7 linked regions of the Ovis aries genome follow. The protein of the gene in region 3 binds, or shares a complex with, the protein of the main gene of each other region. Links are inferred from orthologs where the notes say so. Each region holds a gene or a part of one and is shown on either strand. Other genes may lie near its edges.

Evidence for each region.
Region 1: SNRNP200 (region 3) and PPIH share a complex: the UniProt entries of both Homo sapiens proteins name them as parts of the U4/U6-U5 tri-snRNP complex. The link is inferred for Ovis aries from reciprocal best matches to the Homo sapiens genes SNRNP200 and PPIH.
Region 2: SNRNP200 (region 3) and PRPF6 share a complex: the UniProt entries of both Homo sapiens proteins name them as parts of the U4/U6-U5 tri-snRNP complex. The link is inferred for Ovis aries from reciprocal best matches to the Homo sapiens genes SNRNP200 and PRPF6.
Region 4: SNRNP200 (region 3) and LSM5 share a complex: the UniProt entries of both Homo sapiens proteins name them as parts of the U4/U6-U5 tri-snRNP complex. The link is inferred for Ovis aries from reciprocal best matches to the Homo sapiens genes SNRNP200 and LSM5.
Region 5: SNRNP200 (region 3) and ARMC7 share a complex: the UniProt entries of both Homo sapiens proteins name them as parts of the minor spliceosome. The link is inferred for Ovis aries from reciprocal best matches to the Homo sapiens genes SNRNP200 and ARMC7.
Region 6: the proteins of SNRNP200 (region 3) and TSSC4 are in contact, whole or in part, in a cryo-EM structure (PDB 7PX3), measured with the Homo sapiens proteins. The link is inferred for Ovis aries from reciprocal best matches to the Homo sapiens genes SNRNP200 and TSSC4. Residues at the interface, in NP_054733.2 of Homo sapiens: Arg1438, Arg1475, His1502, Lys1748, Gln1749, Val1752, Asp1753, Thr1756, Trp1757, Tyr1761, Arg1762, His1778, Leu1781, Ser1782, Asp1783, Leu1785, Ser1786, Glu1787, Val1789, Glu1790, Gln1791, Glu1807, Met1808, Asn1814, Met1817, Ile1818, Tyr1821, Tyr1822, Asp1928, Ser1931; in NP_001284587.1 of Homo sapiens: Val198, Ser199, Ser200, Phe201, Asn202, Gln203, Asp204, Pro205, Gly211, Arg212, Val213, Ile214, Phe215, Thr216, Lys217, Pro218, Arg220, Gly253, Pro254, Val255, Glu256, Leu257, Ala258, His259, Leu260, Ala261, Gly262, Gly303, Phe304, His305.
Region 7: SNRNP200 (region 3) and SNIP1 share a complex: the UniProt entries of both Homo sapiens proteins name them as parts of the minor spliceosome. The link is inferred for Ovis aries from reciprocal best matches to the Homo sapiens genes SNRNP200 and SNIP1.

What each region holds. Positions count from the first base shown.
Region 1 is NC_056054.1:17,161,434-17,165,463, reverse strand, and holds the start of PPIH (peptidyl-prolyl cis-trans isomerase H), read right to left. Parts: upstream 2,801-4,030; 5' UTR 2,777-2,800; coding exon 2,711-2,776; exon of another isoform or gene 2,376-2,710; coding exon 2,311-2,375; intron 2,020-2,310; coding exon 1,996-2,019; exon of another isoform or gene 1,902-1,995; coding exon of another isoform or gene 1,879-1,901; intron 1,724-1,878; coding exon 1,679-1,723; intron 1,428-1,678; coding exon 1,385-1,427; intron 1-1,384. UniProt on the Homo sapiens protein: PPIase that catalyzes the cis-trans isomerization of proline imidic peptide bonds in oligopeptides and may therefore assist protein folding. Participates in pre-mRNA splicing.
Region 2 is NC_056066.1:53,535,199-53,537,656, forward strand, and holds the end of PRPF6 (pre-mRNA-processing factor 6), read right to left. Parts: intron 1,248-2,458; coding exon 1,121-1,247; intron 729-1,120; coding exon 576-728; 3' UTR 501-575; downstream 1-500. UniProt on the Homo sapiens protein: Involved in pre-mRNA splicing as component of the U4/U6-U5 tri-snRNP complex, one of the building blocks of the spliceosome.
Region 3 is NC_056056.1:104,085,737-104,089,236, forward strand, and holds part of SNRNP200 (U5 small nuclear ribonucleoprotein 200 kDa helicase), read left to right. Parts: intron 1-509; coding exon 510-618; intron 619-1,348; coding exon 1,349-1,457; intron 1,458-1,942; coding exon 1,943-2,132; intron 2,133-2,229; coding exon 2,230-2,394; intron 2,395-2,566; coding exon 2,567-2,688; intron 2,689-2,955; coding exon 2,956-3,099; intron 3,100-3,191; coding exon 3,192-3,368; intron 3,369-3,500. UniProt on the Homo sapiens protein: Catalyzes the ATP-dependent unwinding of U4/U6 RNA duplices, an essential step in the assembly of a catalytically active spliceosome. Plays a role in pre-mRNA splicing as a core component of precatalytic, catalytic and postcatalytic spliceosomal complexes.
Region 4 is NC_056057.1:65,578,978-65,583,208, reverse strand, and holds the start of LSM5 (U6 snRNA-associated Sm-like protein LSm5), read right to left. Parts: upstream 2,801-4,231; 5' UTR 2,781-2,800; coding exon 2,735-2,780; intron 1,674-2,734; coding exon 1,578-1,673; intron 1,297-1,577; coding exon 1,269-1,296; intron 666-1,268; coding exon 593-665; intron 1-592. UniProt on the Homo sapiens protein: Plays a role in pre-mRNA splicing as component of the U4/U6-U5 tri-snRNP complex that is involved in spliceosome assembly, and as component of the precatalytic spliceosome (spliceosome B complex).
Region 5 is NC_056064.1:55,673,427-55,677,648, forward strand, and holds the start of ARMC7 (armadillo repeat-containing protein 7), read right to left. Parts: upstream 2,801-4,222; 5' UTR 2,544-2,800; coding exon 2,453-2,543; intron 2,356-2,452; coding exon 2,212-2,355; coding exon of another isoform or gene 2,199-2,211; intron 1-2,198. UniProt on the Homo sapiens protein: As a component of the minor spliceosome, involved in the splicing of U12-type introns in pre-mRNAs.
Region 6 is NC_056074.1:45,569,345-45,573,428, reverse strand, and holds the start of TSSC4 (U5 small nuclear ribonucleoprotein TSSC4), read left to right. Parts: upstream 1-1,284; 5' UTR 1,285-2,049; intron 2,050-3,588; 5' UTR 3,589-3,704; intron 3,705-3,849; 5' UTR 3,850-3,871; coding exon 3,872-4,084. UniProt on the Homo sapiens protein: Protein associated with the U5 snRNP, during its maturation and its post-splicing recycling and which is required for spliceosomal tri-snRNP complex assembly in the nucleus.
Region 7 is NC_056054.1:12,368,528-12,372,027, reverse strand, and holds part of SNIP1 (smad nuclear-interacting protein 1), read left to right. Parts: intron 1-324; coding exon 325-427; intron 428-3,500. UniProt on the Homo sapiens protein: Required for pre-mRNA splicing as component of the spliceosome. As a component of the minor spliceosome, involved in the splicing of U12-type introns in pre-mRNAs. Down-regulates NF-kappa-B signaling by competing with RELA for CREBBP/EP300 binding.

The sequences.
Region 1 (4,030 bases), on a different chromosome or scaffold from region 3:
CTTTAGAAGGTCTCAAATTCTGCTTCTACGTCTTGCTCATTCTATTTTTTCTGCCCTAAGGGTGGCTCTGAGTAATTTCTTCTCCCTGACAGCCTTCTGGCTGACTAACTGCTAACTCTAGAGCAATTAGCAAGTGATCACATGTGCCTAGCAATGACCCATAAGAAGTTAGTCCTATCCCTGCTAAGACAATATAGCAGTATAGAAGCCTTTGGAAGAAAGAACACAGAGAATAGCATCTTAGCCCTTCTTACTTGCCAATAAAAAAGGATATGGTCACCCCAAGCCCTACTCTAATCAGTCGTGGCCAGGGGTTGCAAACTTAAATGCCTATAGGAGTATGTGACGTAAAGAAGGGAAGCCAGTGGTGGGAACTGTGGTGAAATAATAAGGACATACCTGTCTAAAGGGAGCTGTTACTTGACTCAACCAAATGTTGCTACATGAGAAACACAGGCCAAGTGCACCCCTACTTTTCAGTTGTAACAGAGAAAACAAAACTCCAGAACTTTCCGGAAAATTTCCCAGTTTTACAACATCATACAGATGATACAAAGCATATCTGTTTCGGATTCAGCCCCAAATCTGCCACTTTGTAAACTTATCTGGGTAGGAAAGATAGAAATCTTAAAAAAACTCCTAACAGTCAAACTAAATATACATGTAAAGGATAAAGAATGTCTCCCAGATCCAAGAAAACAGCAACATGACTAACCAAATGATATTAATAAGAAAGATCATGCACAGAAATGGGTGGGTATGGACAAACGTAGGTTTAAGAAAGCATAAATGTGGTTTATTCAGAACCCTGCAAGGTTGGGAAGCTTGAAATGGGGATGCATACAGTGGCAAGAAAAATCATGCTTAGCAATGAAGGATTAATTCAATGGGTTCTCCTAGTGAATAGGGAAAATATCCTTCCAGAACTCTCTGATTTCTTGCCCACTAATGAACTTGATTAAAAAAATAACAACTCACCTTCCGAGGCACTGGGATACCAGAAGTGAATGGGAAATCAGGGCATAAGCATTTAACTCACTGGAAAGGGACTTGCCCCCATTTAGAGAAAGTTAACTGTAACTGATTTCTAGCTAAATTCCATGTGCCCAGTTAATTTGGGTCTGTCATGGATCACCTATAGGTATGCTGGGAAAGTCAGTTCCCAGCCCTAAAAGACTGAGATTTGGAGTGAGTGACTCAATCAAAGTGCTAATATGTTATCTAGTGATGCAGCGAGTAGCAGCCATCACAGGATATTCCCATTCCCACCTCCTCCCCCAGCAAACTTGGCTACTGTTCTCAGTTCCCCGAGGAGCAGCTTCAATAACAACAACCAACAAAAACAAAACTTATAGGCCCTTAATAGGAAAGGAACAGTACTTACATTAACAAAATCTCCACCCTGAATCATGAAATCTTTTATGACCCTGAAACAGAGAACAAAGGATGCTGGGAGAAGATTGTGTGGTTTGGAATAACATTAATTTCAAAATATAATGTTTATCACTTCAGTCCTCAAATCAATGGTTGAGTTCACAAAAGCATCCCTTCTCAAGAACTAAGAATTATGCTATGGTTTTGTTTTCCTCTGAAGAGACTAATCCCCCAAGGAAGTAATTCTAAACCATACTAATAGTAATTTTAAAAGTCCCCCAGGATGGCTTGCCAAAGGCCTTACCTGTGGAAGGTGCTCCCCTTGTATCCTATCGGAACCCCATCTTTTCTATAAGCAAAAAGAAAGAGACTTGAAATGGTAAACAGGTAAACATAGGCCTTTCACGTTTACCATACAGTCGAGCCAGAGACACCCTTCTAAAGATGGTCGGGAGAAGAGAGACGAAGAAGGCAAATGAACTGAGGACAGACCCATAGTAATACCTTCTATTACTGTCACCAGTCATACAAGGCCTGCCGGTGATTCCCCAATACCCTCAACTGCAGCCTCAGGACAGCCCTCAGGAGCAAGCAGAGAAGTCAACCACGTCAGAGACTGACCTGAATTCTCCTGTGCAGAACTGCCTGAAAAGGAAAAGAGTGAACGATTCAGTCGCCATGGCATCACAACTCTGAGCGTCCCTAACCTCAGCGGGAAGGGGAACGTCGGCGCTAGCTAGCCCACCAACTGGCTGGTCAGACGTCCAGGCATACAGATTAACATAAACTGAAAAGGGGACGGTCAAGACTATTCAGAGAGATACCCAGAGAAGTCAGATCTCAAGGACGGTGAATGAACGGATAGAGGTAGGCAGAAGATTCCACAGACAGGCCCAGCTTCTCGTTTGGTTTATCCAGCAAAGAACATCATCTTACCTAAAATTCTCCGCCGTCTTAGGCACAACGTCTGCAAAGAGCTCAATCTTCATACGACCAACCTCCTGCAACCGGCGAGAGACGTTCAGAAAGCCCAGTCCAAGCCCGTGAAGGCCTCACCGAACAGGGAACCCTCGGGCCCCCATGCCGCTTGGTCTCTCCCACCTCCGCCTCCGTAGCCTACTCTTCCGTTCCACCCGGTCCCTCCACCAGCCGGGCGCTAGGATGCGCAAGACTCCTCCTCTTCCTACTCCCTCACCCCCGCCCCGCAGGTCGGTAGGTTCTGGTTCAATTTCACTTTTTGGCTTCCCGAGTTTGCTACACCTGAGGAGGTGATCTGCCTGCCAGACCGCGTGCACGTTCCCTTTGGCATCGGGCTGGCTGGCTGCCAAGACCTCACCTGGCCGCCAATGCTGACATCAAAGAATACCACGGGATTGACAGGGCTTGAATTTGCCACCGCCATGCCTCTGACCCGGAAGCAGAAGTCGGGAGCGCGGGGTTCCGGCGATCCTATGATCTTGCTCCGCCGGGAGGTGTTTATTTCCGGCGCAGGCGCAGGAAGAGCCGGGGGGGGGGGCGGTGCGGTGGGAGGCGGTCGGCCCCGCCCCCGGAAGCTCTCTGCCTTCGATGCCAAGCTGCGCGCTGCGTGGGTGGCCGGGGCTTCCTTCCGTTTTGACGAGTCGCAAGTTGTTACCTCACCTGAGTCTCCTTGAGCGCTGAGGCCGGAGGACATCCTCGGCTTTTTTTTCGCTCGAGGCCCACGGGCCTCTCATTCACTTGGATACAGTAAGTGCAGTACGGATGATTCTCGCTCAGGCTACGGGGCTTGGACTAGGCAGTCTTCAGGGTCTGATCAGCCTTTGCAGCCAAGACCGTCTGAACCATCATATGTGCGGCCTCTTACCCCTTTTCACTAGTCTGGAGGCCCGGAAGCAAAAACCGTGTTTATCCTCAGCGCTTTGAACAGCCTGGCATATAAGGCTTGTTCAGTATATTCAGCACTTTCATGAAGTCAGGCACTAGACTTTAATTCCAGTTCTCCCACAAGCTTCCGCTTTCATCATCTCCAAGTCACTTACTGCAGAGCAGCTAGAGCTTTTAAATGAATCTGCTTATAAATCACTCCCGGATTCCCTTATTTAGAATAAAATCCAGTTGCTACATAAAAGACCTACATTACATTATCTGGCCACCTACCTGGGACTCTAGCCTGTTCCTCTAGGTCACGGAGACTCGGATTCTATTTAGGGCCTGTTAACTGACTTTAATATTCTTCTAAATCTTCATGAGGGTGCGGAGTGGTCTTGTAGGTCAAGTCTCATCTCAGGTCATTAGTCAGGAACATTGCACCCAATCTAAAGTAGCCCTCTGTCACTCTTTTGGATAGATTACTGATTTTCTTCATGCCATTCACCATCCAAAATTATATGGTTTCCCCACCTCACCAGCTGCTTCACACTTGTTTAACTCCATGAAAATGAAGCTGGGTCCTTCGTAAAAACCGGGTGCCTTTGCAAAGCTTAGGAATAACCTATCTATAACGTTCCCTTTCTTGTCCACCTGTTTCCCTCAAGGTTGTTGAGTACCAAAGAAAAAGGCATTGAGACAGCCGGCCCTTGGCAGGACACTGCTGTGTATAAAACCCTTGCTTATGTACCTGATTCCTTGTTTGTAGAAAGACTTGACCCTCCTGGATCTTGTTCCAAAGAGCAGATCC
Region 2 (2,458 bases), on a different chromosome or scaffold from region 3:
TCAAGTCTCCAGGTAAGCAGTGCATTTTCATCCAGAGAATGGGTCCAAGAGCTTTAGGGTAAAAATCACTAACTACAAATTAGCAAAAATGAACTCCCCCTCTCACATGCCGAGGGCCTCTTCGCCATCCTGTGGTAGAACCTCAGGGGCCAGGCCCAAGAGCACTCAGGAAAGTCACTCTCCTGGGATGCACACAGCCTGCCGCTGGGGGACAGGAGGCATAGACAGGGCAGGAGAAGACCTGTACATGCAGGCACCGGAGTCACCTGGCCAGCTGGGCCTTCACTGTTTCCACACAGAGCTTTTACCCAGAACACAAGTTCCTGCCTCCATCTCCAAAAAGCCTTGGAGAGTTGCCCAGCTCTGCTGGTGCTTCCTCTGCAGGGCATAGGCTCTTAGGAGGTCTGGAGAGCTAGCCCTATCCAGTGTGAGGGCCAGACTGGGACGGTCAAAGCACATGAGGGTAGGATTTGGAGAAAACCCGCTGCCACAAACCCCACGACTACTAGAAAACCTTTAATCAACAACCAGGACAGCCACCACCCCCACCCTACCCCCACCCCTGCGCAGGACACTCAGAAGGTGTTCTTGATGCGCGCTGCAACCAGCACCAGGATCTCCCCGATCTTCCGTTGCCAGTTGGCGATGTCCTTGGACGTGGCACACCACAGCTCCCCGTGCCGGGGCTCGGCGTTCTCGCAGCGCCTCCTCACCTCCTCCCGCTGCTCCTGGGTGGGGATCGCAGGTGCTTGAACCAACCCACTCCCACTGCACTCTACCAGCCTTCATACCAGTGTCCGCACCTGCCCCCTAAAGAGGACCCACCTTCCACATCGGGGTGGGGGTGGCAGGGGAGACCCCGAGGGCGCTGGGCTCTGGGAAGTCTCTGTCCAGCAGGACAGGATGGCTATGACACAAAGACAACCCTCAGGCCTCCAGCTCCAGCCCTGTTTCTGCCACAGCCCATCACAACCAACTTGTTAAAAGATGCCCCCGAGCATCTAAATTTCAGGCTGAGACTCCAAGGCTACAGGCAGAAAGCAGCCATGGAAGCTGTGTCACCCGCCAGCACTTCGTTTGAGACTGGTGGGGTGGGAGTCATGGGCAGCAGGCACCTCACCTCTGTGCCGTGCTGCAGCTCAAACTTGTAGAAGAAGGCCCAGGCATCCCCCAGATCCGAATCAATCTTCACAGTGCGGTGGAACCACTCCCGGGCCTTGGTGATCTTCCGCTCGCTCCAGAATAGCCTATTCAGAAGCAGCAGGAGGGGACCAGGTGGCCACAGATCAGCGCTGGTGGTGCTCCGGGGCTGCGGGAGCCACACTGGGGGCAACCCTGGCCTGCTCAGGTCATAGCTGGCTCCACGGTGGGCTAGACCTCAAGCCTGGGGACCCGCTGCAGTGGCACAGAGTCAGGCACAGGGACTGCTGGTCTTGACCTCTCCCTGGAGAGCTCAGGCTCCATTGGGGTGCCAACGGATGAGGCCTGGCCACCCAGAAACCCCTCCAGGTCATTACCTGAAACGCTCCTTCCTTCAAGTGTCCACCTAAGGCATTTCTCAGAAAACCACCCACAGAGCAAGAAATTATTATCTTCCTCTGAGTAAAACATAGGGAGATGAAAGTAACTGATCGGACAAAAAATTCAATCAAGGCTGTGATTAGGGAAAGAGAAGTTTCTGCCTGCTCCTCTTCTTCACCTTCTGGAACATTCTGTCCTACCAGGCATCTCCAGAAGGAGCTGAAGCCCACACTGAAAACCTGGTCTAAAAGCAGACACAGACCCCTGAATCCAGGCCCAGGAGAAGATCCACAGCATCAGAAACCGAGTCAGGGTCCTGGGAGCCTTCCCCACGTGCCAGTGAGGGCATGATGGGCACGCTGACAGCCAGCTCCACCAGCTCTGCAGTCAAGTTCCAGAGCAGATGTGCACTAGGCACCTCCAGGCAGCTGCCTTGGCTGGTCTCAGCTACAAAAGGGAGTAATTTCATGCCTGATAGCTTGATTGTTTTTTAAGCCTTGTGGTATTCTTAATTGCTCAGTGTCAGATAAAGTGTGATTTAAAGAGCACAAACCCAGATAGCAGCACACAGAGCACCAGCCTGGGAACAGCAAGGAGGGACCTGTTTACTTTACAAAGCCTTTTACGAGGTTTTATGGCGGCCCTATCGGAGTGGAGCAGGAGGTGGAAGCACAGGCGAGAGGGAAGGAGCCCCGGGGACCCAGGTGGGGCCTCAGAAGTTCGTGGGAAGCCCCACACGCAGCACCCTCAGCCCCACAGCAGCCGGAGAGGAGGTATTGGCACTGAGGAAGCAGCTGGGCCAGCAAGAGCACACAGGAACCTCTGGCCCCACATACCCCCTGCCCTAGGCAGAGCCCTGACAAGCCCTCCACCCCAAGCCCAGTCACTTCCCAGCCTGACCACACCCAACCGCAACCCGGCACTCAGGTTCCGCTCC
Region 3 (3,500 bases):
GGGGTGGCTGTGTGCTGGTGAGTCTCGTTGACGTTAGGCATTTCGTGCAGAGTAGTATTTTGACGGTGCTTAGGGAGCCGCAGTGGCAGTGCTCCTGCCAGAATCACTTGCTGTCACTCAGGCCTGAATCTGCCTCGTGTGGGGCACCCTCAGAGCTCGATCTGCTGCCATGGACTGGCCAGCCTGTGGCTGAGTTGGTGGAAGCATGTTCCAGTCGGCACAGCCTGCCTGTCAGGCAGGAGTGTGAGCCTGACTTTCTCTGGGCTTGGGGGTCTGTTCCAGGGTGACCTCGTCTCCTGCAGGGTAGCCCCCCAGCAGAGCAGCAGTGACAGGCAGACCCTCCTGTAGTACCGCGTTAGCCTCTTAGTCCTGAAACCTTATCCCTGCCCAGCGTTGCACTGAGTTCTGAAGTATAGAGCAGGGTGCGCCACTGCTTGCCCCAGAGGCAGCGGGTCCTGCCCCACTCGGGGGGCCCTGTGCTCAGTCTGCTCCTCCCCTCTGCCGCTCAGGGGCCATCCAGGTGGTGGTCGCTTCTCGGAGTCTCTGCTGGGGCATGAACGTGGCCGCCCACCTGGTGATCATCATGGACACCCAGTACTACAACGGCAAGATCCACGCGTGAGTCCAGTGTGCTGTGCGTTCACGGGCCCCTCTCTCCTAAGATGAGTGTAACCTCTGCAGATCCGGAAGGCCACTGTTGTGAAGAAAAGGTGTTAGGGAAATAAATAGCTAGCTGAGATTCCACCCCAGCCAGGGTTTTATTTGTGCAGACTTATTTCTGATGCTTGAAGCTGCTCCTAGGTTTGGATTTGAGTGGGGTGGGCTTGATCACTCATGAACCATATGGCTGTGAGGTCTGGGAGCCTGCCTGACATACGAAATGCTTTAACATGGAGTCATCTGGCTATCGCCGTTAGATGGGTTGGCTTCCCAGGTGGCGCAGTGGAGAACCCACCTGCCAATGCAGGAGACGCAGGTTCCATCCCGGGTCGGGAAGATCCCCTGGAAGAGGACATGTTGGCCCTCTCCAGTGTTCTTGCCTGGAAAATGTCATGGACAGAGGGGCCTGGCGGGCTGTAGTCCATGGGGTTGCAAGGAGGTGGACGTGAGGGAACAGACACACACACACATTAGATGGATTAACACCTTTGGTTCACAGACCCTGAGCAACAAAGTCCTGACTCTTAACACTTGAAAACTAAACTGGTCTGTAGATAACCTGTGACACTAGGGCCTGAGCACACTCACAGAGGTTTGCTGGGATTCTCCATGTCTCCCTGTATCTGCATTTTATTCTTCGACTTTCAGGGAGGCAGTGTCCTGAGTCCTCTTCTCCCTCTGTCTCCAGGTACGTAGATTACCCCATCTACGACGTTCTGCAGATGGTGGGCCACGCCAACCGCCCTCTGCAGGATGACGAGGGCCGCTGCGTCATCATGTGCCAGGGCTCCAAGAAGGTCAGCCCCGGCCTCTGGCGCGGGCTTCCGAGCCTGGGCCTCGGAACAGATTCTTTAATCTCTCTCTCCATAGGCGTCTTTACTTACTTCCTCATGTTCTCTCTGTCTTCTTTTCTTTCCACATTGCCTTTGTAACAAGCCTTTCCCTGTGTAGAATTTTGTAGCCTTTGATTTTTGTTGCTGCTGTTGACTCTGTGTATTGAGATCTTAACCCTCTGGCTGGGTCTGTCTTCCTCATGCCTTGCTCAGCCCTTGGGGCTCAGTGTACCTTCCTCCGTGGTAGAAATAACCAGTGATGCCGGGGGAACCGGCATACACACCCAGCTCTCCAGGTCCAGACCCAGCTCACCTTGTCTGTGCAGCTGGTCTCTTCCGTTTCGTACGAGCCGTGCCTGTTGCACGGCGGCCGTATTTGCCCTTGGCCTTTCTCTGACCGTACTGTCATTGACTGTGTGCTGTACCGTCATTGACATTTTTTCCCGTAGGATTTCTTCAAGAAGTTCTTGTATGAGCCTTTGCCGGTGGAGTCTCACCTGGACCACTGTATGCATGACCACTTCAATGCCGAGATCGTCACCAAGACCATTGAGAACAAGCAGGATGCTGTGGACTACCTCACCTGGACCTTCCTGTACCGCCGCATGACGCAGAACCCCAATTACTACAACCTGCAGGGTCGGTGGCGGCACTGCACGCATCATCCTCTGGTGGTTGGCACAGCCCTCATTCACCGTCTCCTCGGGACACCCCTGCTTACCTGTCACCTTCACAGGCATCTCCCATCGTCACCTGTCTGACCACTTGTCGGAGCTCGTGGAGCAGACCCTGAGTGACCTGGAGCAGTCCAAGTGCATCAGCGTCGAGGACGAGATGGATGTGGCGCCCCTGAACCTGGGCATGATCGCCGCCTACTATTACATCAATTACACCACCATCGGTGAGGGCCGGCAGGGCCTGCAGCCACGGGGACGACATGACGAGGCTTTCAGGGCCTCGTGTGCTTGTCAGAGGGACGCATTGCAGGGTGGAGCCGGGCTAGCCCAGCAGTTAACTCTGCTCCTCCTCTGCCTGCTTTGACTCCTCCAAATGTCCTTTCTTTCCTCTCTCAGAGCTCTTCAGTATGTCCCTGAACGCCAAGACCAAGGTGCGAGGGCTCATCGAGATCATCTCCAACGCGGCCGAGTATGAGAACATCCCCATCCGGCACCACGAGGACAACCTCCTGCGGCAGGTGAGCGCGTCTTGGCTTCTGGAGTGCGTCTTCCGAGCCGCGTGAAACTCGGCCCCCATACCCAGAGCACAGGATCCCGCTCTTGGGTCAGGAAAACTCCTACTCCCCTGCCCCGAGCTCCCTCACACACTCCACACACATCTCAACCCCCACCACCCACAGCCGTCGTCTCCTCCTTAGCGTGGAATGGTTGTGGGCCTGGGGCGGGTGGTGCTTTGGCCCTGAGTGCGGGTCTCTTCACCAACCGCTCTTTCTTCTGCTTTCCAGCTGGCCCAGAAGGTCCCCCACAAACTGAATAACCCTAAGTTCAACGACCCGCACGTCAAGACCAACCTGCTTCTGCAGGCTCACCTGTCCCGCATGCAGCTGAGTGCTGAGCTGCAGTCGGATACAGAGGAGATCCTCAGCAAGGTATGGAGGCAGGGCGCCGCGGGCATGGAGGCCTGGGCGGCCCATGCGGCAGCAGTGCCCACGCCTGCTCTTGCTCTCTGGGCCCTCTGCAGGCCATCCGGCTCATCCAGGCCTGTGTGGACGTCCTCTCCAGCAACGGGTGGCTCAGCCCGGCCCTGGCGGCCATGGAGCTGGCCCAGATGGCCACCCAAGCCATGTGGTCCAAGGACTCCTACCTGAAACAGCTGCCGCACTTCACCTCCGAGCACATCAAACGTTGCACAGACAAGGTGAGCTGGGCCTGCATCGCAGTGTTGGGTGGCCAAGTCTGGAGGCCAGGCATCCTGCACTGGGGTTGGTTGTGGGAGGGGAGGTGTCTCGTTTTGGCTTCTCTGAAGGTGTTACCCAAGAAGGCGCCAGGG
Region 4 (4,231 bases), on a different chromosome or scaffold from region 3:
AGGAGGAAAAAGTTTAAAACTTAGTACCACATGATCTAAAAACCCCTACTGAGAGCTCACTGACTGGTCATTGATCAGCCTTTGCCTCTCCCTCATATTCCCATTTTCCCCATGTCACCTCTGTTTACAATTCCAACAGTATCAATTAATACTTAGTGATTTAATGTTTCAACAGTTAATTCTTGGTAAAATAAATGATTAAAAAGCACAAGCAGGGACTTCACTGGTGGTGCAATGATTAAGACTCCATGCTCCCAATGCAGCGGGCCCAGGTTTGATCCTTGGTCAAGGAACTGGATCCCACATGTTGCAACTAAGTAAAGATCTTCTGTGATGCAACTAAGACCCAATGCAGCCAAATAAAAAAATAAATAAATATTTTAAAAATACATAAGATAAAAGGTATAAACAAACTAATCTTAGGCCTAATGTCATCTTCAACAGTTTGGCCACAGAATCCTGATCAGCAGAGCATTCCCTTCCCACCCTAAGCACCACTGGGCCAAGAACATTGAGTCAATCAAGTCAGTTCTGTAATCCCTGCCCCACAAAGATGGCTTAACATCTAAATAAAAGACCTTCACTGTCTTACCATTGTTATATTATTTCCATTTAGCAAAATTTGATCTAATTTAGTAATTCTTCTTCCTTCTGGTGTGATTTCACTAAACAAAAAGATTTTCAAAAAGTCAGGATAAAGAGTGATAATCAAAGCCAACATTCTGATCCACCAAAAGGTTAGTTACTATATATAAATGAACTGTACACTTTCCAGAGACAAGGTTATCCCCATGGTGATGTCAATTCTCCAAAGGCAAGAGAGTGGACTGACTGGCCTAAGACCCACATCCACTAGTGCAGATCTTCATCTAAAAAACTGAAACTTACCAAGGAGATCAAATATGAAATAAAATGTTTATATATATATATATACACATAAGTTTTAGAGTAACTAATTTAAAACATTAAATGTTTTTATTATAAGTTCCTTTATTTGATCTGAGCGCTAAGATCCCTGGCTGCTTTTAGTATCTTTTACCTTAAACCTTTGTCTCCACTAACTTCCTAGCAATTAGTGACAATTAAATTATGGTAATAATCCTCCAATCCAATTTTACTAACATCAGTAGGTAAACTTTCTCTCTTTAGAGTAATTCAAACAGGCAGTGTGCTCTCCTACATCCTTTTACTGACTCAACAGCACTAAAACTGCCTTAAATCAAACAGAGATTCCCCCTACCCATTCTTTAATTTTTAACACTACTCACAATTCAGTGACATCTTCCAATACCATATCTGAAATTTGGTGTTAAGAAAATAAACATACCAAATTAAATTTACTCTGGCTTATTTCTTTGTTCAGTTTTAATTATAACATTGAATACAATGGCTCAAATGCAAGCTGCGTGCAATTGGTAGGAACTTCATCTTTCAGTACCACAATCCCTTAAAACACTATCACAATTTCCAAAAAAATAAATTAAACTTTATTATAATAATCGGTAAGTACTGATAGTCTATAGTTCTTTTTTAAAAATCTGAAGAAAAATCCATACAACCACCTTTTAAAAGGATACTGACAAAGTCATCAAATCCCAGAAGTGTGCCAACAATCTCTTTATCACTCTTCATCACAATGTGAATTCTTGATCCTATACACTTGTCCACAAGCTCTGCAGATAAGGGCGGGAGAGAGAAGATTAGTTTGCCCATTCATAACATTAACAAATATTTGAATGCCTACTGACACTTGTTACATGCATATGGTGAAAAGATAAGCCAGGAAAAGTATTCACTCCAAAACTTTAGACCTTATGTTACATATCTCTGTTCAGTCATTCTATTAAAAGGACAGTTTTCCCTCCCTGTTATTCATTTAACCCTCCTTTGTAGCAATTTATCATGGTTGTAGTTTAATACTATTTTAGTTATCTGATTAACATATGAACGCCCCTCTTGACTCTAAGCTGAAAGAGAGCTGAGAGGTGGTTTTTACTCATCAGTGTATCCCCAGTGGACAATGCCTGAAATGTACTGGTCATTCAGAAGAATTTGTTCCAGGATGGAAAAAAACCTTTACAATAACTGCCACATCCACTAACCCGATAACCCTTCAAATATAAAATATTAAGGGGAAAAAAAAGGCAGAACTGTCTTCACCAGAGATTCCTCCTTGTCATTAAGTCTATGTCTGCCCTGTATCCTGTTTCCTACACTGGTTTGTATGCTATCTGAAGGTAATGGCCGTGATTTAAATTTGTTGAACAGTGCCCAATCACAGTGTCTAGTGCACAGATGGCGCGGTAACTGCTTGCTGAATAAATGAGTAACAAGAGCTAGTTTTCAGAGGCCTCTTTAAAGGCTCATTCCAGACCCAAGTGCCTCACTCAGAAACCAGCCAGACAGGATATAACCCGGGTAGTTTAAAAGCCCGGTTGCGGAATGGGCCTCTTACTATTATAAAGGCGAGCACCCAACAAAGAAGGTCAACGACACATTCACCAAGACTGAACCTTTCCGGTGAAGGTTTGGGGAGTCAAAAACCCCTGCCTCAAGAAGACTCCCCCACGCCAGAGAGACTTGTGCGGCCTCAGGCCGCCGAGACTTGGAGCCTAAAGGAGAGCTGCAGAGAAAGCTACGTTTTTCTAACACTCGGTCAGGGACTGCCTTGCTCTTCGGCCCCAACCCTAACTTTCAACTCCCCGCCCCGGCTCCCCAACAGGACAAAGATTACCTAGAGGAAGCAGCTGCGACGGGTTAGTGGTAGCGTTAGCCGCCATGGCTACGCCGGAAGTGGCCTGCCTCTATCGACGTCGGAACGGCGAGTTTGAAAGAGCGCGCTTCCGCTTTTTTCCGGCCCAGGCAGGCTCGACCAATCTGAGGCCGAGAGTGCGATTGAGGAGATCCAGCCACTTCTTTATCCTGCAGGGAGATTCTAGAAAGTGTTTCTGTTCACTGAGCGTTCTAGGTTCTCCACAGATAACTCGCCTCTCCAAACTTCCAAGAGACTTTAGAGATCTCCGGTCTTATAAATAAGTTATTTCTCTAATCCGGAAGCCTGCGAAACGGAAGCCTTTGTGCTGTCTTATTTCCCCTTATCGAGGTGTGTCTCATATCAACCCAGGATCTTTCTTCGACCAGAATCAATAAATTTGATTTTCCCGCCACCGATTCATTGTGTTGCAATTTTCGTTAAAAAAAAAAATCTACCGCTTCTTTTAAAAGTTTGATGATTTGAAAACCCACAACTAGCATTTTTAATAAAGTTTGTTGGGCGAGGGGGAAATTTTAAGTATGTTTTCTATTTTCTACTATCGTTTTCTTTTTCTATTTTTCTATTCTACTTTTTCAATTTTTTCCATTTCTATTGTTTTCTATCTTCTACTATCAGGAGTTGGTGATGGACAGGGAAGCCTGGTGTGCTGCAGTCCATGGGGTCGCAAAGAGTCGGACAAAACAGTGACAGAACTGAACTGTCCTTTTTAATCTTGTAATATCTAGGAGTCTGCTATACATTTTGTATACACTATTTCTTCCACAGTCCAACAGGCAACCACCAGATGTCATTCTATGTTAATAACATCACATTTAGGAAGCCTTGCTGCTTTTACGCATCTGTTTTGAAAAGAAAAAGCGAACAAATTTTTTGCGTTGGTCTATTTTATGTTTATATCTGAGGAGCTTAAAGCTAAAGAGTTTAAGCAGGAAAGGCCAGGAAGGACATCATTCATTCACACAATGGCTGCAAAGCACCAATCATTCATTCATCGAACAAATACTTTAGTTGAACATTGGCATTTTGCTCAGTATAACCAGCGTAAAGAACAGAACTACAACGTCTTCTGCCCTTATAGGAGCTAAAGGATAAATGGGGGAGAAAGACAACTAGCAAGCATTATGTACAAAGCACGTGGAATTTAATATGTAAAGCAAAAAGTGCTCTTTTAACTTCAGGGATCTTAGTCAATCGTCACATCATTCTTTGGCAAGACAAAGTAATGCCAAAAAAATTTGTTTTCCTATATCTATTCTTGTTTCATTTTCACCATACCATAATGTGAATAGGAACCAAATTCAAGGTATTGTTGCTACCTGATAGAGTTTAAAATTCAAGAAAATAAGCTTTAAGTCAATATCTTGCTTTCCATTACAGAAACCAAATTAACATTCAGCACTATTGATGAAGAATAAAGGAGGTCTTATACTCTGAAAACGGAGATACAATTGTTTA
Region 5 (4,222 bases), on a different chromosome or scaffold from region 3:
TAACACTCCACACTGCCACTGCAGGGGGCATAGGTTCGATCCTTGGTCAGGGAACTAAGATCCCACGTGGGAAGCACCCCCCTCTACCTCCCAAAATAGCTTCAGTTGGAGGAGATATGTCATGGCCTTTTACCATTTACCTCTGTGGTCATCCTCCCCAATACCCATATCCCAGTCTAATAACGAGAAAAATGTCAGGCAAATCCCAACTGAAGGAAAACCTACAAAATACCTGACCAGTACTCCTTAAAACTGCCAAGGTCATTCACAAAAAGAAAAAGTCTAAAACCAGCAAAGCCCAAAGGAGCCTAAATCTAACATAAGATCTTGGATGGAATCCTGAGACAGTAAAAGGTTATGAGGGAAAAAGTGACGAAATCAGAACAAAGCATGGACTTCAGTTAATAACAGGGGTACCCAGGTGGCTCAGTGGTAAAGAATCTGTCTGCCAGTGTAGGAGACGCAGGTTCTATCCCTGGGTCAGGAAGATCCCCTGGAGAAGGAAATGGCAACCCACTCCAATATTCTCGTCTGGGAAATCCCATGGACAGAGGAGTCTGGCAGGCTACAGCCCATGCGGTTGCAAAGAGTTAGACAGGACTATTGCTATTGGCTTATTAATTGTAACAAGTGTACCATACTAATGTAAGATGGTAATAATAAGGAAACTCGGTGTGTATACATAGAAACTCTGTATTACCTTCGCAATTTTTCTACTGTTATAAAATACAAAGTTTCTTTCAAAAGAGAGCGAGAGATTGAGATCTAACGTACATAACAACCAGATTAAGAGCATGGATCCTGGTTTATACAGAACAACAAAAAATGTCCGCTTGGGAACTATTAGAGAAGTCTGCCTAACTGGGTATTTGGTGACAATGGAATTATTAAGTTCATTCCCTATGAAGATAAGACTCCTTTCACTATGCAGAGAAATGTTATTTTTTAAAGACACATGCTGCAGAAAGAATGTTGGTTTTGTTTGCTTTTTGCAGGATCTCAGTTCCCTAACCAGAGAAGGCAATGGCAACCCACTCTAGTACTCTTACCTGAAAAATCCCATGGACGGAGGAGCCTGGTAGGCTGCAGTCCATGGGGTTGCTAAGAGTCAGACACGACTGAGCGACTTCACTTTCCCTTTTCACTTTCATGCACTGGAGAAGGAACTGGCAACCCACTCCAGTGTTCTTGCCTGGAGAATCCCAGAGACGGCGGAGCCTGGTGGGCTGCCGTCTATGGGGTTGCACAGAGTCAGACACGACTGAAATAACTTAGCAACAGCAGCAGTTCCCTAACCAGGGATGGAACCCATCGCCCCTACAGTGGAAAAGCAAAGTCCTAGTTGTTGGACCACTAGGGAAGTTCCAGGAATGTTGGTTTGCCCTCAGAATAAACTCCAAACTCCCACCCAATGCCTAGATCTGAATCCCTGTAAACTGGTGCGAGGTGCTCTCTAATTTAGCAGCACTAAATCCTTCTCTCTCATTTAGTACCACTCTGGGCTTCACTCACCACAATGGTGCCACATCAGCCTTCCTTCTGGCTCCTCCTGCTCTGGGGTCTTGGCCCGGCCTGTGCCTTCCCGCCAGGGCCAAACCAGAAGTAGTCCCTTCCTTCCCTTGCTCTTCTTCATCAGCCTGTTTTCTTCAGTGCCTCAGCTTCTTTTGTGTGTAAACCTTGTGTCTCTCTCTACTAGAATGTAAATTCCCTGAGGGCAAAGATCTTTTCCCAACTTGTTGGCCATCTCACCAGCATTTAGAACAATACTTTGCTCACAGGGTACCAGCCCAACAAACACCTGACGTGTGAATAAATCAATAGGTCTGAGACCAGAACAACTACAGGTGCCATAAGCCCTTCCGAGTGAACGCTATTTCTCTTGATGGTGAAACATATAAGATAAAGAGGTTTTAAAAGAGCGCTCAACTCCCCCGCCCCCACCCCGCCCCTCCAAGGGGCTTCAATCCATTCCCATTTATGATCTTACCTCTAACCGACAGGGAAGGTAGACAGGTAGAAATGGTCCTGGGCGTGGGTTCCAGGCCAGACTCAAGCCACCCGTGAACCTGTACGCTGTGTTGGCCGCGGAGGCATTACAGACACTACGAAAGTCTGCCTTCGCTGCTGAGAGACGGCCGAAGAGCCCTTTCCCAACAACTCATTTCTAACTCGTTACCTCATCAGGCACCTAGGAGAGCGCCCCATCCTTACCAATAGCAAACTCCACCAGGGTCTCATTCTCCTCCGACAGCGAATCGAGGAATAAATCCAAGACCTGCAGCTGCCGCAGATACTGGTAGTTACCGGGGTCATAGGCGAAGTTGGCGAGGTTGGCCAACACTTGCTCCTTGGCGTCTGCGATGGAGAAGCGGGCAGTGGCGCCAGGGTCGGGGCGGTGGTCGCGGCTGGACCCCGGCCCAGCCCCCCCTGCCCCCCACCCCGAGACACTCACCTTGGCTCTGCGTCTCCTGGAATTCCGTGACCAGCGCCTGCAGATACCCCAGCCGACCGACGTGGGGGTCTACCTTCGGCTTCTGGGCCATGGGCGGGCGGCGAGGGGCCCCGGGGAGCGGGCGGGAGAGTGTGGAAGGTTGAGGCTGGGGCGCGGGGCTAGGACCCCACCTGGCTTCGCGGGGCCGGGGAGGGGAAACGAATTCTCCAGCAGCTTGCAGCTGAGACTGGGCTGTGGGAGACGCGGTGGGGACTCAGAACCTCGTAGGAGTTGGGACTGAACACCTAAGTCGGGGACCAGGAGACAAGGACCCACTCTCGCGCCGCGTGAGGAAGGCCCGTCCCAGCTGGGCGGGACGTTCGGCTTGGTTCCGGACTTCCGGGGGAAGCGGCACTTGGCCACGCCCAAAGGGCCAAAGGGGCGGGGCGACGAGGCGAGGGGCGATGGGCGGGGCCGTCGCTGAGCGTGGGCCCGCTTCCAGCGTTTTGTCTCTCGCAGGCGGCGATCCGCCTCTTGATGGAAGTGGTGACTGAAGCCTGCGGTTGTGTTGAGGCGAGCCCCAAGGGCCCGTAGGAGCTCAGAGGTGCCGGGGGTCGCCTGTGTGGGGGACTGTCGGGGTAGAAGCACCTTCAGATGCACCCGCGCTTGGCGATGGGCCGCAGTCCCCGCCCCTCCACCATCCAGGGACGCCGTGGAAACGCGAGCGCCTGCTCCTTGTGTCCCCTCTGTGGCTCTTCTGACACTACCTTCTGGTCGGCTCTTCCCAAAAGCCCAGTGAGGACTTCCCTGGTGGTTCGGTGCTTAAGACTCTGCTCCCAGTGGAGGGGACACGCTTGGATCCCTGGTGGGGGAACTGTGACCCTGTATGCCCGAGGCGAGGCCAAGATGAAAACAAGTCAGCGCGCCTGGTATCCTCTGCTCCCCAGTCCCGAGCTGAGCCTGCCAGGTGGCGGGGCGCACCCGGGGCAGCACCATCGGACCCCAGAAATACTACTTTGGTGGCTTTCTGGGTTGTGGGGAGCCCAGAATGCTGAAGCCCTCCTATCTAGTCCTTTCTCAGTTTCTCAGGAAGGGGTCAGGTGACAGAGCACCAGGGAGGAAGGTGGCCCTCTTGGACTCCAGCGTGTTTCAAAATGTGGGGGTGGAAGCGGCTTAGGCTGTGAATTTCTGGAGGGCAAGGGCCTTGCGCAAGGACAGTGACTGCCACACTCCAGCTTGCCACAGCCCCACTGGGAGCAGCCCCCACCTGGTGGGCTCAGGTGGCTGTGATCAGCCCCAGCCCTATGCACACACCTGGGGCTTGGGGACCCTGGCTGCTTCTTGCAGGGTAGTGTCCCCAGGCCCCTCACCAGAACCTTCACATTTTAAGGAGAGCTGATTCGACCTGGGGAAGTCTATCTCAGCCCAATGTGGCCAGGGGGCTTCTCTGCTCCTGTCTGGATGGAGCAGTAAAGATCTAGGGACAGGACAGAAGTGGGCTCTACCCCACACTGGTCAGGAACTGCTCTGGACCCTCTCTAGAGGAATCCCAGGATCAGCCAAGTGTGGATTCTGGAATCTGATGGGCCATCACATCCTCCATTACTTGCCCCCTCCTAAGGCTTTGGAAAAGCCCCTGATGCTGAGAAAGATTGAACGCAGGAGAAGGGGATGACAGAGGATGAGATGGTTGGATGGCATTACCTACTCAATGGACATGAGTTAGGGCAAGCTCCAGAGAGCTGGGAGATGGCCAGGGAAACCTGGTGTGCTGCAGTCCATGGAGTCGCA
Region 6 (4,084 bases), on a different chromosome or scaffold from region 3:
CGGTGGCTCAGCTGGTGAAGACTCCGCCTGCAATGCAGGAGACCTGGGTTCAATCCCTGGGTTGGGAAGATACCCTGGAGATGGGAAGGGCTACCCATCCCAGTATTCTGGTCTGGAGAATTCCATGGACTGTATAGTCCACAGTGTCAGACTTTATTTTTTGGGGCTCCAAAATCACTGCAGATGGTGACTGCAGCCATGAAATTAAAAGACGCTTACTCCTTGGAAGAAAAGTTATGACCAACCTAGATAGCATATTCAAAAGCAGAGACATTACCTTGCCGACTAAGGTCCGTCTAGTCAAGGCTATGGTTTTTCCTGTGGTCATGTATGGATGTGAGAGTTGGACTGTGAGGAAGGCTGAGTGCTGAAGAATTGATGCTTTTGAACTGTGGTGTTGGAGAAGACTCTTGGGAGTCCCTTGGACTGCAAGGAGATCAGCCCTGGGATTTCTTTGGAAGGAATGATGCTAAAGCTGCAACTCCAGTACTCTGGCCACCTCATGCGAAGAGTTGACTCATTGGAAAAGACTCTGATGCTGGGAGAGATTGGGGGCAGGAGGAGAAGGGGACGACCGAGGATGAGATGGCTGGATGGCATCAGTGACTCGATGGACGTGAGTCTGAGTGCACTCCGGGAGATGGTGATGGACAGGGAGGCCTGGCGTGCTGCGATTCATGGGGTCGCAAAGAGTCGGACACGACTGAGCGACTGAACTGAATAGTCCACAGGGTCGCAAAGTCGGACACGACTGGGAGACTTTCACTTTCGGAGCAGAAATGACCAGTCACGATCGGCAGGCGAGGCCGGGGCGCCTCCCTCAGGAGGCTTGCCACGCGGCGGCCTGCCCGAGTCGTCCAGTGGGCGGGACAAATGTACACCGCGGGACACGCCCCGCGGCCCGGTTCCAGGGACCCGAAAGAGCAGGGACGGCTGCTCCGGAACAGCACCGGAAGTGCCTGGGAACCGCGCGGGATGCGTTGACGCACTTCCGGTTCTCGCAGCTTCCGGCAAAGTGGGCTACAGTACCAGGAACGAGGCTCTGGCCGTTAGCCCTGGAGCATTCTGGGAGTCGCAGCCCTGCCTCCTCACCCAGACTCCCTTCCTGAGTCAATTCCGGTCTCTTCGCGAAGGAGCGCCACGGTTTCCTGTAGGGAAGGCAGCGCATGCGCAAAGTCATCACTCCCGATAGGCCTCAGGCGTGGGAGCCAGGGGCCTTGTGGGAGATGTAGTTCTTCAGGCGCGGGAGAAGCGGCCATCGGCCAGCGGGGGACTCGGTTTCCCACGAGGCTGAGCGCGGCTCAAGATGGAGGCAGCCAGGCCGAAGTGAGCCGGTAGGTTTTTGGTGGGAGGGCCGCGCTGCTGACCCGTCCGGCTTCAGCGGGCCACTGTCCGTAGTCTGCTGCCCCAACCAGGGAGACCCTCGTGAGGCCCGCACCCTTGGCCCGCCCCCGCCCGACTTGGCCGCAGGACTCAGGCAGCTGACAACGAGCGCCTGCTGGGCACGCGCCGAGATTCTGGGCGCGTGGAGTGGAGAAAATCAAGGCTCTGCCTCCTAGGGGAGAGAGACAACCCTCAAGGAAGCCAGCGCTCCCTGGGACCTGGCCAGCCCCGACCCCGGCCCTGAGAAAACCGCGCCTCCGTCAGCCTGGACTCGGCTCTGCCCTCCAGTGAGCTCAGGAAGTTCTCAGAGAACTCAAGAGACGCAGACCTGGCATGCTCGATCTTGGGGCGCGATTCCTGGCTCCCCTCGGAGTGTCCCACTGATCACGGGCGTCCAGGGGACGGGAGTGCAAATTTAGGAAGCCGGAGGCTGGTCGAAGCTCCAGCTTTGCCTCCAGTGTACGGAATGACGGGCCAATTATCTCCCCACTCCTGTCCTGCCAGCCCTAAAACAGACACCGTTGGCGTTTACTTCGTGTCCCCTTTCCTGGAGTTGTTCCTGCATTTGGGGAGTCATGCAAGGCCCAGAGGAATGGAGATCTCGCCTGCGTTTGACCTGGAGCAGGGCACTCGGAGCCACTCCTGGTCCAACTGGCCTGGTCTTTGGTGGGTGCAGGAGCAACAGAGTCACCCTTGGCAAGCAAGGGAGGCCTGGTGGGAAGAGGAAGTTGGTGGAGGCTGAGGCCTGTCCTCTGAGCCTGGAAACAAGTTTCAGGGTGCTTGGTGACACTGGAATGCTAACCAGGTGTTGGCAGGACTTCTGTGCTCCACTGGGAAAGTGAAGGGTGTGTGGAGGATCACAGATGTCGCTGGAGGTTGCCTCAGGAGCTGTGGGGCCGGCCTCTGCCAAGCAAGGCTGAGCCAGCTTCCTGAGAGCCTGACCCTCAGATGTCAAGGACCTGGCTGCAGTCCCTTCTGGAGCTGCCAGGGCATCTCTGCACTCAGGAGCACACCTCCTCCCCACAGAGCCGGCAGGTGCCTCCGGCTTTGTGGAGTACTTCCTGCCTGCCCTGCTCCCAGGCAGCATCCCGCAGCAAGCTCTAAAATTCTTTATTGCAGTTGTTAGCACAGTGAATAAACGTACTCCTCATCCACACAGCAAATGTTTGTGAAGTCTGACTGAGTCAGTTCGAGCTGTTCAGTGAGCCAGTCTGCAGTTCCCGCCATGACTGTCAGCTGTTTTCCGTCCCTCTGAGCACTCACTGACCTGAAAACGTAATAAGCTATCACGTGGAACCACCACAGGACGTGTCAGTTACCACGATTAGACTAGTGACTGATACAGTGTCGATTCTGTAATTTCACTTTTTGAAAAGAGTGATCACCCTTCATGACTCCTTGTAATCCATTAGAAAGTAATTGAATATGCTAGTGTGTGGAAACACTGGCGCTGTGTCAAAACGAAACAGTGACAGTCTTTCTCCGAAGTGAAAAATTACTCAGTTAATGGCCGGAATACCCTCAGTTTCCATTTTGTTTTAATGTTTCACCCCTGCAGCTGCTAGCCAGTGTGAGGAGGGTGATGCCTGCTTTAGCACAAAATTACATGCTCTGCATGTCACTCATTCATTCCTTATTTACCGGAGAAGGCAAGGGCACCCCACTCCAGTACTCGTGCCTGGAAAATCCCATGGACGGAGGAGCCTGCTGCTGCTGCTGCTGCTGCTGCTAAGTCGCTTCAGTCGTGTCCGACTCTGTGCGACCCCATAGACGGCAGCCCACCAGGCTCCTCCGTCCATGGGATTCTCCAGGCAAGAGTACTGGAGTGTGGTGCCCTTGCCTTCTCCGGACAGAGGAGCCTGGCAGGCTACAATCCAAAAGGCCACAAAGAGTCGGATGCAACTGAGCTGAGCGTACTGCCTGCCACTACCACACGTGGCCGACAGAGGGAGCGCGAGGATTGCTGGTGACCCTGGGTTGACACCCCGGCCGGCTGCTCTACCAGACCACCCCGTGCGGGTCCCCTAGTGGCTCTAGTCAACCCTGCCTGGCGAGGACTGAGGGAGGTGACAAGTCAAAAGGACCAGCTCCTGGGCCTGGCTGTTTTGGGGGCTTTGTAAACCCAGGCCCACTCCGGGGATGTTGGCACCACTTCCATTTGTCCGCCATCTGGTCTGATGGCTGGCTGTCCCTCCCTGCCCTTAGCCAGTCACCGAGCCGCTGAGCAGAGCCGTACCAGGGGGCCTTTGCCACCAAGAACCTTCGTCAGCATTCAACCCACCTGCCCTCCAGCATCCAGCAGGCGCCCATCAGACGGGGAGGTAAGAGGAGGGCTTATGGTCGGTGTGGCGGGGGTGGGGATGGGGGCTGGCCCTTCCTCCTGGGACACTGCTCTTCCTGCTGATCCTGCCTGGGGTGGTGGGTGTGAGCTTGTGTCCGGGGACTCCCGGGGCTGTTTTGGTGCAGGTGTGGCGTGGTCTGGGGACACATGGCAGAGGCAGGGGACAGCCGACACTTCCCTGACTCGGAGGCCGACACCCTGCCTCCGGACACTGGCTCCCTCAGCGACTCGGACTCTGACCTTAGTTTGCCTGATGGCGCTGGGGCGGCTGCCCTGTCCCTGGGGGGGCTGCCTGGGGAGGTGTCCGGGGATTCGGGCCCCGATGAGCCCCCCTCGCCCCCCAGAGGCCTCCTCACAGAG
Region 7 (3,500 bases), on a different chromosome or scaffold from region 3:
TCGAGGGGAGAAAAAGAATCAGGGTGACTTCTAGGTTTTTTGCCTGAGGAACAGGGTGGATGGTGGCACTAATTATCCAGCTGGCAGAAAACAGAGGAAAGTGTCTTGGGTGGTTGGGAATCTAGAGTTGCTATCTAAGTGAGAAGTTCTAGTAGGCAGTTACGTATGTGGAAGACATAGGACCAGAAAAGTGAAGCTCCTGATTCTTTTAGTGTGATCAGCAAAGACATGGTGTTTGTGTTAGTTGGATATGCCTGATGCTTGGAGCTGTTTTGTATGAGGGAATGAAAGTTGAGATAAATGTGTGTACCATTTTCTGAACAGGTCCCCAGCCAAAAAGAAAAACAAATCCTCAGGGAGAAGAAGCAAGTCTCCCCGGAGTAAGAGAAGCCGAAGTCCTCACCACTCAGCAATCAAAATAAAGCAGGTAAGTGGACTGAGATGTTTTCGTACTGGCTCCAAACCTAGAGCCTCTCCATCATAGCTAAAGTGGTGTGTGTGTGTTTTCCTGTACCTGCAGTGGGCTTCTCCAAAAACTGGGCTTTTTTTTTTCTTTTTTCTTCTTTCTTTGTTAAACTTTTTATTTTGAGATAATTGTTGATTCACATGCAGTTGTAAAAGGTAATACAAAAGCCACAGTTTGTCCCAATAGTACCATCTTACAGAATTATAGAACAATATCCCAACCAAAATGTTGACATCAGTTCTGTCAAGATACAGAACATTTCCATCACCACAGGATTCCTCAAGTAGTTCTTTTATATCACACCCAGTTCCCGCCTACCCTTACCCCTCCAACTCCTGGCAGCTTCTAGTCACTTCTCCATTTCTGTTATTTTGTTTCCTCAAGAATGCTATGTAAATAGAATCACACAGTATGTAGCCTTTCTGGATTGGCTTTTTCCACTCAGCTAAGTTCTTTTGGAATTCATTTATATTGTTGCTTTTGTCTGTAGTTCCTTCGTTTTTATTGCTGAACTGTAGTCAATGGTATGGATTTAACCATTTGTCCATTAAAGTGTATCTGGGTTGTTAGCAGTTTTTGGCTATTAGACATAAGACTGCTGTGTATACATTTCTGTACAGGTTTTTGTGTGAACATAGGTTTTCGTTTCTCTGGGATAGATGCCCAGGAGTGCAGTTTGTAGATGGTATGGTAGGTGCTTTTTTTTTTTTTTTCCTAAAACATTAATAAATTGTTTTCCAGAGTGCTGTGTTAGTTTGCCAGGTCTTCCATAACAAAATACCACAGACTGGTTGCCTTAAACAACGGAATCTAAGAGGCTAGAAGTCAGAGATCAAAGTTTCAGCGGTTTGGTTTCTCCTGAGGCCTTTCTCCTTGGCTTGCCTTCTTTGTTGGGTCCTCATAGTCTTTCCCTCTGTGCTCGCCCATCTCTGACTCACATCTTCTTTAACCACATCAGCCATATTGGATTAGGGGCTTACTCATTTTAACTCAATCAGTTCTTCAAAGACCTTACCTGCAAAAAATCTGGTTACAGTCTGAGGTGTGGGGGTTGAGACTTCAGTATGTAAATTTGGAAGGGGCGCAATTCAGTCCTTACAGTGGCTATCCCTTTTTATAATGTGAGTGATCCAGCATTTGGTATTGTGACCATTTTGACCATTCTGATAAGTGATAGTGATACTGTGATTTTAATTTGCATGTCCCTGGTGGCTAATGACGTTGGGCATCTTTTCATGTGTTTATTTGCCATCTGTGTTTCCTCTTAGGTAAAATGTCTCTTCAGATCTTGTGCCTATTTTCTAGTTGGATTGTTTTGGGTTTTTTTACTACTGATTTTTAAGAGGTTTTTTTTTTTTTGGTAATATATTCTTAGATACCAGGCCTTTTTGGAGTGAGAGGTTTTCCAGTATTTTCTTTCCGTCTGTATCTTGTCTGTTCATTTTCTTAAAAGAGTTTTCCTCAGAGCAAAAGTTTTTGATTTGTTTGGAGTCCAGCTTGTCTGTTTTTCCTTTTACAGATTATGCTTTTGGTGTTATGTCTAAGAACTTCCCTGACCCTAGAACCTGAAGATACGTTTTTCTTTAATATTCATTTAAGTCCATGATCTGTTTTGAGTTTGTTTTAATCTAAGGAAGGAGCCTTAAATCAAATTTCCTTTTTCGCCCCGTGGATATCCATTTACTCCAGCACTAGGTGTGGAAAGACAATTTTTCCTCCCTTTAATTGCTTTTGCTTTGTCAGAAATCAAAAGTGTGTGTGTGTGCCTTTATTTCTGGGTCCTCTGTTCTGTGCCATTGATCTGTCATTCTGCCAGTACCACAGTCTTGATTACTGGAGCTATATAATAAGTCTTAAAATTGAACAGACTGGTTCTTTCACTTTCTTCGTTTTAAAAATTGCTGGGACTTCCCTGGTAGGCCAGTGGTTAAGACTCTGAGGCATAGGTTTGGTCCCTGGCTGGGCGGAACTAAGGAGGCACATGCCACAGGACATGGCCAAATAAATAAATAATTGTTTTAGGAATTCTCGTGCCTTTATCTTTCCACATACATTTTAGAACAATCTTGTTTGTATCTATTGAAAAAACTTGCTAGTATTTTGATTGAAATTGTGTTAAACTTGTACTTTTTGAAAAATTTTAAAAAATTATGTAGCGTCTTCCAGTCTTTGAATATAGGTGTATCTCTGTTTATTTAGATCTTTGATTTCTTTTATCAGTGTTTCAGTGTACAAGTCCTGTATGTGTTTTGCTAGATTTGCACTTAAGTAATTTTTTTAAGTTATCATTAAATGATGGCTCTAGTCCATGGGGTCGCTAAGAGTCGGACACAACTGAGCAACTTCACTTTCACTTTCATGCATTGGAGAAGGCAATGGCAACCCACTCCAGTGTTCTTGCCTGGAGAATCCCAGGGACGAGGGAGCCTGGTGGGCTGCCATCTATGGGGTTGCACAGAGTCAGACACGACTGAAGTGACTTAGCAGCAGCAGCAAGTGATATTTTGAATTTCAGTATTTACTTGTTCATGGCTAGTACATAGAAATATGATCCATTTTTGTATGTTTATCTTACACCCTGTGGCCTTACTGAACTCATTTATTTGGCCTAAGTAAATCCCAACCTAAAACTTGGGATTTTCTGCATAGATAGTCACGTCTGCACAGGGGCAGTTCTGTCTGTCTTCCTTTCCAGTGCATGTTCATTTTATTGCCCCTTGCTGCATGGCTGGGACTCTCGCACTGAGTGGAGCAAGAGCAGTCAGATCAGGCTCTCCTGCCCTGTCCTCATTCCTGAGGGACAGGCGTTCAGTCATCGTCTTGTGCTCTTTCCTCCAAGTTTTATTTAATTTTTGACAGTGCTGGGTCTTTGTTGCTGTTGTGGACTGGAGAATCCCAGGGACGCGGGAGCCTGGCGGGCTGCCGTCTGTGGGGTCGCGCAGAGTCGGACACAACTGAAGCGGCTCAGCAGCAGCAGCAGTGGACTTTCTCTAGATGCAGTGAGCAGAGGCGACACTCTTGTTGTGGTATGCAG